Linked DNA regions of Sus scrofa. The protein of the gene in region 1 interacts with the protein of each later gene in a pairwise test. Links are inferred from orthologs where the notes say so. Each region holds a gene or a part of one and is shown in the gene's direction. Other genes may lie near its edges. The genes, in order: RASSF5 and RASSF2.

Region 1 (5,673 bases):
AGGAGCTATCTTGTGGGAAAGATGGCCCGTGCAGGTTCAAGCACTGAGTCCCAGTGGAATGCGACCCTGACCTGGGACTCTCACAGGTGTCCCCACTCAGGGCACGTGAGGCGGGGCCTGCCTCTGTGTGCAGAGCAGGGCATGGGGACTCTGACTTCATCTTGGCTGGCCTAAAAGCCCGGGGCTTAGTTAGCATTTCTAGGGGCCAGGAAATATCAAGCCATGCTTCCGTGGTTTTGCGACAGTCTGTGATTACACGGTCAGATGGGACAGACCCACTAGTGCTCAAATGTGCTTTTTATACAATCCCGAAGCACCCCTCTTGGAGTCTTCTGGGTCCTAACTCTGTCCAGCTCAGCATCAGACCTGTTTAAAAAAACAAATACAAAAACAACAACAAAAAAATCTCCCAAGGGTTTTGGTGCTGTTTTCAGAATATGTGTGTGTGTATGTCTGTGTGTGTGAGAGCGAGATAGACAGACAGACATGGAGAGATTCAGTTGCACAGATGGACACAGACCGCCTGCTGACATGGAATTGAAAGAGGAGACAGGAGAACTTTCTCCTCTCCCCAGACACTCTCCCCTTTGGCAGCTGGTGGCAGCTCTCACTCCTGCTTCCCACTTGGCATCCGCAGAGCATTCTTCATCGCTCAGAGCGTGGCCAGGAGCTGCACAGGTGTGTCCCGGAGTGGAGCCGGGAACAATGCTGCCCTGTGTGGGTTCTGGCCTTGGCGCTCCCTTATCAAAGCCCTGGCATTTCTGGGCACTGTGGGCAGGGAGACTTGGCCTGCACAACCCCCCGTGCCCTTCACCCGGTGCCTGGGTCTCCTGCTGGGGGCCCAGGAATGCGAGTGGCTGCTGGCAGGGGTGCGGTCCTCCACCCACCCCATCTCCAGTGGGAGCACAGCTTCTCGGGAGAAGAATCAGGAAGTCTAGGCAAGGTTGGGGTCTGAAGGAGGGGATGTCAGTGGACTTGACCTGCAGGCACAGGGGAGGTGAGCGGTAGGGCTTCTAAATGCCACCCTAGGAAGGTGGTCAGGACTTCAGACCATTGAGTCAGAGGGTTGCTGGGTTCTGGGATCCCTTCCTGTCCCTGCATTGGCCAGGCGCTCCCCTGAAAGTATTAAGATCAAGAAATGTGAGCCGGGTGCTCATCCTTGGGGAGGTAAGAAAGGGGGCAGCTGGGGAAAGTGGGGTTCTCCTTCCAAAACGCTCCAAAAGAGTGGGGAGACCCACCCACTGCCACCCTAAGAAAGACTGTGCTACAGCAGCTTTAAAAAGATGATCCAGGGAGTTCCTGTTGTGGTGTAGCAAAAACAAATCCAACTAGTATCCATGAGGATGTGGGTTCGATCCCTGGCCTCGCTCAGTGGGTTAAGGATCTGGCGTTGCTGTGAGCTGTGGTGCAGGTCGCAGACAGCGCTTGAATCCCTTGTTGCTGTGGCTGTGGTGTAGGCCAGCAGCTGTAGCTCCGATTGGACCCCTAGCCTGGGAACCTCCATATGCCGCGGGAGCGGCCCTAAAAAACAAAAACAACAACAAAAAGAGGGTCCCCAGGTGCTGTGGTTCTGGAGCTTGTTAAAAGGAAGGAAAAGAGGGAGCTCCTTGGTGGCCTAACAGTTTGACCCCTGGAACTTCTACATGCGGCAGGTGTGGCCCAAAAAAAAAAAGGGGAGGGGGGAGTTCCCTTCATGGCTCAGTGGTTAACGAATCCGACTAGGAACCATGAGGTTGCAGGTTCGATCCCTGGCCTTGCTCAGTGGGTTAAGGATCTGGCATTGCTGTGGCTGTTGGTGTAGGCTGGCAGCTACAGCTCCGATTGGACTCCTAGCCTGGGAACCTCCATATGCCGCAGGAATGGCCCAAGAAATGGCAAAAAGACAAAAAAAAAAAAAAAAAAAAAGGAAGGAAAAGAGTGTCAGGAGACTGAGCCCAACATAAAGCTGTCCCTTCGTCCCCAGATTATCCAGACATGTCCAGGCTGTCTCCTGCCACAAGCCCTGCCCACCCCAGCCCACCCCTATGTACCGGGTGACACGGTCCAGCAACCTTCTCATTAAGACTCTGGCAGCCTCCCTCAGCAGGGCCTTCTGGCTGAGCTGTGGCACCTCCAGGGCTGGTGACCCTGATGGGCCCAGCAGCTTCTGTGGGAACCAACCTCCAGCCTGAGCCTTGTGCCTGCTGATGGGCTTGGACGGATTTCTTTCACTGCCAACCTTTTTTTCTCTCCCATCCTCCCTGCCTTCACCTGCCCCAACCTCCCGGCCTCCTGTCCCCTTCAACTTCACCTCCCTTCTGCCAAGGAGGCTTCAGAGAGGGCCCTTGGGGAAGCTGGAAACTGCTTGCAACCTTGGCTGTGCCACTGAGCCGTGTGTCATTGGGCACCGTGCTTTACCTCTCTGGGCCTCAGTTTCCCCATCTCTGAGGTAACCCCCCATGGTCTGCTGAACACTGGTCATTGTCTTACTTCCATGGATGTGAAACAAATGTGTGCTTTCCTCCAAAGCCTCATTTGGAATGTTGTCTGCAGGCCATGTCAGCCAAGTTAGAGGAGCCACCTCGCATTTCTAGATGGCACTGTGTCAGAGAGACGTGACAGCCCTTCCTGTTGGTGATCATGCCTTTGTCCCTGGAGAAACCTTTAATTTGTTGGGGTTCTTTTTGTTTTTTGGGTATTTTGTTTTGTTTTGTTTTTTGTCTTTTTAGAGCCTTACCTGTGGCATATGGAGGTTCCCAGGCTAGGGGTCTAATCGGAGCTATAGCTGCCAGCTTATGCCACAGCCACAGCAATGCAGGATCTGAGCCGCGTCTTCGACCTACACCACAGCTCATGGCACGCTGGATCTTTAACCCACTGAGAAAAGCCAGGGATCGAACCTGCAACCTCATGGTTCCTAGTCGGGTTCATTTCTGCTGCGCCACAACACAGGAACTCCCACCTTTAATTTGTTAAGACCCGTTCTCCTCTATAACTGTAATCATCCTTGTGCACCAGGCAGGGCCATTATTACCTGTTTTACAGCCTGCAAAACAAGGCCAGGAAAAGTTAAGTTCTTCCACAGGGATTGGGGCCTCTGATGATTAACATCAATTAGTAGAAAGAGCACCAGCCTGAAGCCAGATGATCTGCCCTTGAGAAAGTCACCCTAGGCCCCAGTTTCCTGTCGGCAAAGTGGCGGTAATCATGGTTGCAGGGTCACACACAATAATGGAGGTGGAAACAGTTTACATACTGGGAGCTCCCATTGTGGCTCAGAGGTCATGAACCCAACTCGTATCCATGAGGATGTAGGTTCAATCCTGGCCTTGCTCAGTGGGTTAAGGATCCGGCGTTGCCATGAGCTGTGGTGGAGATGGCAGATGTGACTTGGATCTGGAGTGGCTGTGGATGAGGCTGTGATGAAGGTCCACAGCTGCAGCTCTGATTTGACCCCTGGCCTGGGAACCTCCATGTGCTATGGGTACAGCCCTAAAAAGAAGAGGAAGACAAAAACAAAAAGGAGATTGCAAATTCTAAACAAAAACTAGATTGCAAACTGTAAAGCACCTATTCACCTTCCCTACTCATGGTAGTTCAGAGAGAGCGAGTCATTCTCATGGTGTTCTTCCCCCTCCACCGCCCTCCAGGAGCTACATGCCGCCTCCCAGGGCCTTTTTCTGGGCCTCCTGTCTGGCCCCTAATCCCTCTGCGGTTCTCTCCCTCCAGACTGCAAATTCACCTGCCACCCTGAGTGCCGCAGCCTGATCCAGCTGGACTGCAGTCAGCAGGAAGGCTCCTCCCAGGACAGACCCTCTCCAGAAAGCACCCTCACTGCAACCTTCAGCCAGGTAGGCGGGAGGGCTCGAGCTCCAGGTTGGCGACAGCCTCCTGAGGTGCCCCCAGGTTCCCCTGTCCCTCCCAGGGGCTCTGGGGAGCATGGGTGGCGAGAGTGTTCCATGTACGCTGGATGTTGGGGGTCCCCTTCTGGCCAGTTGGGGTCCATAGCACACTCTTCGAGTCTGCGCCCAGTTCCAATGTGGGGGGTTTCCCCACACCACCACCCTCTGACACCCAGTGGGTGCCCTGTAGTTCAGCTCAGTGCTGTACTCTGCACCCCCCACCCACCACCTCAGATACCAGTTGTAAGAGTATGTTGTCACCCATGCTTCGGACCAACAGGCTGTAGGTGGGAGGTTGCCACAGCTCTGTCTTTGGGCTCAATGCATTTGTTAGAGCAGCTCACAGAACTCAAAGAAACATTTGAAACTTACTAGATCGCCAGTTTATTATAAAAGGATATAACTCAGGAGCAACCAGATGGAAGAGATGCAGAGGGCCAGGTGGGGGAGGTGCACAAACTTTCATGTCCTCTCCAGAGGTGCCCTCCCTGCTCCTCCCCATGTTTCCCAACCCAGAAGCTCTCTGAGCCCCAAACTTCCAGGACCTTACAGAGGCTTCATTATACAGACATGATTGATCAAATTGTTGGCCATTGGCGATTGATCCACCCTCCGGCCTCTCTCTGTTCCCCAGAGGTCAGGGGCGTCCATCTGAAAGTTCTAATCCTCTCATACTTGGTTGGTTCTCCTGGCAACTAGCCTGCATCCTTAGGTGGGATCCAAAAGTCACCTCATGGAATTCCCATCTTGACTTAATGGTTAACGAACCAGAATAGTATCCATGAGGACGTGGGCTCAATCCCTTCCCTTGCTCAGTGGGCTAAGGATCTGGTGTTGCCATGAGTTACGGTGTGGGTTACAGATGTGGCTCGGATCCCACATTGCTGTGGCTGTGGTGTAGCTACAGTAGCTACAGCTCCAATTCAACCTCTAGCTGGGAACCTCCACATGCCATAGGTGCGGCCCTAAAAAGACAAAAGACAAAAAAAATTTAAAAATAAAACCGACAATTTTAATTTTAAAGAAGTCACCTCGGAATTCCTGTCATGGCTCAGTGGTTAACGAATCCAACTAGGAACCATGAGGTTGCAGGTTCGATCCCTGGCCTTGCTCAGTGGGTTAAGGATCTGGCGTTGCCATGAGCTGTGGTGTAGGTTGCAGACGCGGCTCGGATCCTGTGTTGCTGTGGCTCTGGCGTAGGCCGGCAGCTACAGCTCCGATTCAACCCCTAGCCTGGGAACCTCCATATGCCTCGGGAACAGCCCAAGAAATGGCAAAAAGACCAAAAAAAAAAAAAAAAAAAAAAGTCACCTCATTAACATCACAAGAAATACCTTTGGTGCTCTCATCATTTAAGAAGTTCCATTGTGCCAAAAATGGAGACAGAGATCAAATGTGTATATCTCTGATTATTAATCACAGTATCAGAGTTCTCGTTGTGGCACAGCAAAAACAAATCCGACTAGGATCCACGAGGATGCAGGTTCAGTCCCTGGCCTCGCTCAGTGGGTTAAGGATCTGATGCTGCCTTGAGCTGTGGTGTAGGTCACAGACGAGGCTCAGATCTGGCATTGCTGTGGCTGTAGGCCAGTAGCTACAGCTCCGAATCGACCCCTAGCCTGGGAACCTCCATATGCCGAAAGTGTGTCCCTAAAAAAAAAAGGCAAAAAAAAAAAAAATCACAGTGTCACACATCCTTTCCAAGAGGCTGGGGAAGCGGAATAGCATCGGTGACACAGGGAAGCCTGTCATTATTCAGAAGTGCCCTCCCTGTGGCCCACTCCAAGCACAG
Region 2 (6,297 bases), on another chromosome or scaffold:
AAAATTATTAGTGAATAATTTATACTATTAACACATTGAAATGGTAATATTTTGCCTCTGTTGGGTTAAATAAAATATTAATTTCACTTATTTCTTTTTACTATTTTTAATGTGGCTAGAAAGTTTTAAATTGTACTTGTGGCACGCATTGTATTTCTACTGGAGGATAGTTGTAGGGACACTTTTCTTCTGCTTCCCTGGGGCCATCTGCTTCCCAGTCCCTCAGGGTGGAGTCTGCAAGAAAACATGGTTTAAGGCTGGGCTTAAATAGATCAGTTTAATATTTGCAAAATAATACCCCTGTTACAGAAATATTGTCCCTATACTGCCTTGAAGGATAAAGGCCTATTCCTTTCTCTCCTGTGCTTTCTGTATGGGGAAACTGATGAAAAGTAAGATGTTTTCTGATGTCTCAAACAAATCAATCAATTCATTTGCCAAGATGAAAAAATTTAAGAGGAAAGGAATGGAATTTTTTTTTTCCTTTGGCTGCTCCAGGGCATATGGAATTCCCGGGCCAAGGATCAGATCCGAGTGAAATTAAGATCTATGCAGCAGCTGCAGCAAAGCCGGATCCTTAAACCCACTGTGCTGGGCCAGGGATTGAACCTGCATCCCAGCGCTCCCAACACTTTGCTGATCCCATTGTGCAATAGCAGGAACTCTGAGAGGACTGGACTCTTTTTTCTTTTTTTCTTTTTAGGCCCAGGTCCCCGGCATATGGAAGTTCCCAGGCTAGAGGTAGAATCGGAGCTGCAGCCTCCAGCCTATGCCACAGACACAGCAACGCTGGATCTGTATTTTAAAAAACAGGTCAGGGCTCCCTGCAGTCTAATTTGGACAATGTAAGCCCACCTGTGGCCCCAGTTGATTGGTCATAGGATGGTCACCTGACCCAACATGAGCCAATGAGCTGCTTTCCTGGGAGACTAGAGTAGAGACTAAGAGATTCTAGTTCCACGAGTTTGCTTTCTTCAACAAGAAGAAATTTCTTAATTTCTAAGCCCCAATGATGAAGTGATGGCCACCCTTTGTCATTTGTCTGGGGTGCAGGGAAGGTCAATCTGTGATAAAAGAGAAGAGTTGGATTCTCAGCTTTCTGGGTTATTGGAAGTCCCCCAGTTTCTGGATTTGCCTCTTACCGAGCTCTCCCTGCAGTTCTGACCCTGAAGTTATAGGGAAATTCTCATGTCCTCATAATACATTCCCCTTAGAGTGTTCCTATTACCTGCAAAGCAAAGAAGCTTAATTAATACAGAGTAGTAATTCCAAAGTGTGGGGTGGGAGAGGGGAAATTAATGATTGAACTTTGTGTTTATACAGCTCAAGGAAAAAAAAATTTTTTTTTTTTTTTTTTTTTCCTGTAGAAAAGACTGATCAGTGGTCTCCTTGTTCCAGGATGGCTGACACAGTTTTCAGCACAAATCTTCAGCTGCATTTCGGGTTCAAAAGACTTTTGTGGCCAGCCTGGGAAGCACATCACCATTTACAACATTGTTTCTAAGGGAGACACATTCCAAGATCCAAACAATGAATTTATAAAGAACGTTTGGCTTCCAGGAGGGATGAGCTGACCCAGCTGTACCCTGAGGGTTGTCTACCCATTAACCCTTAGTCCCCCATTCACCCCAAAAAGCCTGGGGACCAACTCTGGAGGGCTGGAGTGTGTGTGTTGGGGGGCGGGGAGTGGGAATTGCGATCAGAGCAGGGGAACAGCTAAGGCTCCCCGCATTTAGGGTGCTCCAGGGCTTCCTGTGCACTGAGAGCCCCTGGAGGTCTAGGGATGGCTAAGAGGGGGAGGTGAGAAGAGGACAAAGAAACTTGCCCTCCTTCACATTGCTGTCACGTCTGCCACCCTGCGAAGTCCAAGGGGCCTTGCTCAGCTCAAACCCTTTTTGGAATAAGCAGGTGTTAGAAAAAAACCCACTTCCTCCGCCTTGCTCAGCTCAAACCCTTTTTGGAACAAGCAGGTGTTAGGAAAAAAAAAAAACCCCACATCCTCCGCTTGAAGAATCCACGACGCTCGAGTGGCCTTCTCAGGGCAGCGTGACTGTACTCTGGAAGTGGCTGTCACCGCCCGGCGCGTCGGGCCAAGACCTCGTCCCTTTCGGAGAGGGGCCGCAGAGAATGGGGAGAGGTGAGCTAGCTCATCTTCCCCACCCCCTCACTTCTACCCCGCCACCCAAAGCCGGAAGAGGCGCTGGCAGCCGGAGCCCCGACTCGCGGGCGGGGAAGGAGGGGACGCGCAGCCACAGCTTTGTCTGGGAGGGAGGGGAGAAGCCCCGCCCCCCCGGGGGGGGAGGGAAGGAGGGCGGGAGTGGAGGGGGAAGAAGAAAGGCGAGGGCTGTGGGGTGGGGGTAGAGAAGAGCTAGAGAAAGGCGGGGAGGGAGGGCGGTCTGACCCGAAAGGGGCAGATAAAGGCAGAGGGGCGGGCGAGCGAGGAGGGGCTGGGGGTGGTGGTGCTAAGGGGGCGGGGCGCCCGACCCCCAGTTGCGCGGCTGCAGCTCTCTCAGCCCCGCTGGAAGTGAGCCGGGCTCGCCGACCGCTGGCCGAGCAGCCCCCCAAACCCGGCCGAAGCACTCCCACTTTCCAACTCCACGGTCCCCGCAGCGCGCGCGAGATGCAGCCGGCTCGGGACGCAGGCAAGGTTCCGGGCGCTGGGCGCGGGGAGCGAGGCTCCGGGGGCGAGTTGCGGGGCGCGAGGTGTGGTGCACTGGGCGGCCCTCTCTCCTCTGTCCCTCTTCCGCCTCGCCGAAAGTTTTCCCGCGGTGTCCCCTGTCCCGTCCAAGTCAGCCCCTCAGTCCTGGTCTGCCGCTATTCTCCTCCCTCCTTCACCAGAGGCTGGGGGTTCCCGGGCGTGCGGACTCCCCAGGGGCAGCGAGGGCGCGGAGCACCAGCCCGCCCTCCTTTCGCCGGAGAAAGTTGTGGCTCCGGGCTCGCCTCCCCCTCCGACCTTTGGGGGTCCATCCTTCTCTCCGGGCCAAGGGCGACGTCAGGAAGGCACTCCCGCCCCATCCCCGAGGTCCCTAGGAAACCCTGGAGAAAAGGTGCTGGGTGGCAGGTGCCAGGATGGCAGGCCCCGACAGCCCTGGAGGGTGTCCGACCCCAATCTTGTCTCCTTCTAACCCGTTCAAGGCACGTTTCGCTGGAGGGTTCCAGCCTAGAGCAGGGCGCTAGACGCCTAGGGGCCCTGGGTCCTCGTGGCACTTCCTCTTTGCCGGCTCCCGGGCCGCCTCCAGAGTTGATATCCGAGGTCGTTGGGAACCTCTGCGTCTTCTCTCACCCGAGAGGCAATTGCTTTGGGCCGACCGGGCCACTTCTGCATTTTGAGCGCCTGCGTTGTACTCAACTCCTAAGCTGGCAGAGCCCTGGGGACAGCAGAGAGGCGTGGTGGTCTGACCGGGGAGACAGAGGGTGGGTTCAATCTTCCTGGGGCTCTTTGTGGGCCCTGGGTTGTTCACCGCACCTTTGCCCCTCGGTGGCAGGAGCTGAGCGCCAGGCTTCTGAACGCTGCAATGCACTTTATTCCCAGGTGGGCGGAATCTGGGTCCCTAGAACTTATACTCCCAGAGAACAGAGGCCGTTTCTACAGCTGGATAGGTGTATAGTAAGTACTTTACATGTAATGAATGAATGAATGAGCCAATGAACTGACAAATAACAATTCCTGTCACAGTTGATCTTAGTACAATGGGAGGAAAGAATTAGAAACAATGATTCTTTTAAACAGCTGTGGGACAGAGCCTGGGCCTTTTTTCCAGAACAGCTGATTGAGGAATCCAGGGTTGGATTTATTTTACTCCTAAATTCACATTTACTTTACTTGGAACTTTTTCTGCAGGTGGTCTGAGGAATTATCATAGCTAAGCTATATTGTGTCCTTTGAGGAGAGCCCTTTTTAAAAAAAAAACTAAAGCAAAAACTTGTGTCCAAATGCAGTGTCAGTCTGAGAGGTGCCGGTTTGGAATCAAGAGACCCTGGAGTGGGGCCATGACTGTGGGCACCAGCTGTGCTTTCTCATTTGAATAGGCCAGCCTGATGCCTGGCAGCTGTGACAGTTCAGTGGGGTGGGAGTGGGGGGGTTGTACAAGAGGGCCTCAAATGATGGCTGAGCTTGGAGAGGTAGGGTAGCTTGAAAGAAGCTAGTTTTTGCCCTGGGAAAAGGAGATGAAAGAGCATGCAGTCTGCTCAGGCAAATGGGAGTCTGTGCTGGTTCAGTTCATGATTCCCTGCGCAGAGTAGGCTGAAAGGTGAGTCTTGCTCCTCCTTCAGAAGATGGAAGAGCAGAGTTCTCACTGTGGCTCAGTGGAAACGAATCTGACTAGTATCCATGAGGATGTGGGTTCCATCCCTGGCCTTTCTCAGTGGGTTAAGGATCCAGCATTGTTGCTAGCTGTAGTGTAGGTTGCAGATATGGCTTGGATCCGGTGTTGCTGTGGCTGTGACTGTGGTGTAGGCTGGCAGCTGCAGCTCTGATTTGACCCCTAGCCTGGGAACTTCCATGTGTCTCAAGTGTGACCCTAAAAAGCAAAACAAACAAACAAACAAAAAAAACAAACCAAAAAACAAAAACCAGTGTAAGAGCAGATGTGGAATATTTAGGAGATAGGATATTTGGAGAGCAGCCTAGGCATTTTCCACGTTCCTCTGTCCTTATTTTTATTCATTTTTATGCTTGTGAAATCTGGTTAGAATGATGAGGGATGCCTTTGGGTGGCCTGGCTAAGAGGAGGATCGGGGTCCCTAGTCATACCCTCTTTCAGGGAGTACACTTGGCTGAGTGGGCCAGGGCCTGAGCCGTTTTTACCCGGTGCTGTTCTTCCAGCTGGCAGCATCCCCATCTTCCTGCGGATGGTCTCATTCTGCCCCAGAGTCCACTTCTCTGCATCTCTCCATGGCTTCTCTGTTTTAGGCTTCAGGTCCTCTCTCCAGGTTGTGTTATCTTAGGGGTTGGTCCCAGGTGGTAGACAACCCTACACCTTGCTTTCAATCCCTCATTTCTCCTCCTTGCTCTTGTATCCTGGCCTACCTGGAACTGATCGGTCCCTGGGTTTTGCTTTGGTTTCTTGGTCTATTTTCCGGTGCTCCAGAGCCAACCTTCTTGTCTGCCTTCCATGCGTGAGATGCTTAGGAATGGCCAAGAGAGGTGGTTGGAGAGGTGCCCAGGACCAAGTATCCTGGCACCTCTGCAGGAGTGCCAAGGGCTAGACTTGCCAGAAAGAGGTCCTGTCACCAAAGCACAAAAGGACCGGGGCCTAATTATTTCCTTCAGTCCTCTCTAGGATGCTTTTGGCAGGAAGTGTTCTCACTGGGAGGTGGGATGAGGAGATGGGACCAGATTGTGAGAGAATCCCTCAGAGAGCCTGGGAGACTGGATGATCCCAAAACAGTCTCAGGGTTTATCTGCATTTCTCCTCCTCTACCCAGACTAAGAAACGGGGCAGGTCTCAGCAGTGTCCTTGGAATGGAACGTGACATCCAGTCTCTGTCTTCAAGCCATAGTTGTGGAGAGCTGCTCCAGCTGGGTTTATAAAACCAGGACAGGGATCCCCTCCCGTATCTCCCCGCCCCTCCCACCACTCTTCAGAATATGGTCCAGTTATTTACCCCAGTGACACACTGGGCTATTTAAACACCTCCCTGCCTCTCCCGAAGAATTTTAAATGAGTCCTTAAGGCTGGGTGAAGCTACCACAGGCCCATGATTACTGGTTTCATTTATTTGGCTGTTTGAGGGTTCCCACGGGGGATGTGGTAGGGAAGGCGGAGGTTGGGAGGCAGAGGAGAAACAGGGCACAAGGAACAGGAACATCCTCCAGACTTGATTGGCTAGGTGGCCAGGGGGTCATTTTTATTTTTATTTTTATTTTTATTTTTTGCCATTTCTTGGGCTGTTCCCAGGCTAGGGGTCGAATTGGAGCTGTAGCCACTGGCCTATGCTAGAGCCACAGCAACGCGGGATCCTTATCCCACTGAGCAAGGCCAGGGATCAAACCCGTAACCTCATCGTTCCTAGTCAGATTCCTTAACCACTGAGCCACAACGGGAACTCCGTTGGGGGGTGGTGGTGTCATTTTTAATCATACCTGGGATGATGGACTTTGGAGCCTGTAATCACAAGTCGATGCAGCTGCTTGCCAATGACAGCTTGAGGCTGTGGACCTCCTGCCCAAGACAGCTGTGACTGAACCAGAGAAGGCAGCCTCTCACCAAAGAAGCGGGTAGGGGAGTTCCTGTCATGGCTCAGTGGTAATGAACACAACTAGAATCCATGGGGACGTGGGTTCCACCCCTGGCC

Evidence for each region.
Region 2: the proteins of RASSF5 (region 1) and RASSF2 interact in binary tests that used the Homo sapiens proteins (3 or more experiments, as listed by UniProt). The link is inferred for Sus scrofa from reciprocal best matches to the Homo sapiens genes RASSF5 and RASSF2.

Annotation. Positions count from the first base shown.
Region 1 is NC_010451.4:67,180,056-67,185,728, forward strand, and holds part of RASSF5 (ras association domain-containing protein 5), read left to right. Parts: intron 1-3,708; coding exon 3,709-3,830; intron 3,831-5,673. UniProt on the Homo sapiens protein: Potential tumor suppressor. Seems to be involved in lymphocyte adhesion by linking RAP1A activation upon T-cell receptor or chemokine stimulation to integrin activation.
Region 2 is NC_010459.5:13,818,404-13,824,700, reverse strand, and holds the start of RASSF2 (ras association domain-containing protein 2), read left to right. Parts: upstream 1-1,971; 5' UTR 1,972-2,137; intron 2,138-2,326; exon of another isoform or gene 2,327-2,642; intron 2,643-3,556; exon of another isoform or gene 3,557-3,607; intron 3,608-6,297. UniProt on the Homo sapiens protein: Potential tumor suppressor. Acts as a KRAS-specific effector protein. May promote apoptosis and cell cycle arrest. Stabilizes STK3/MST2 by protecting it from proteasomal degradation.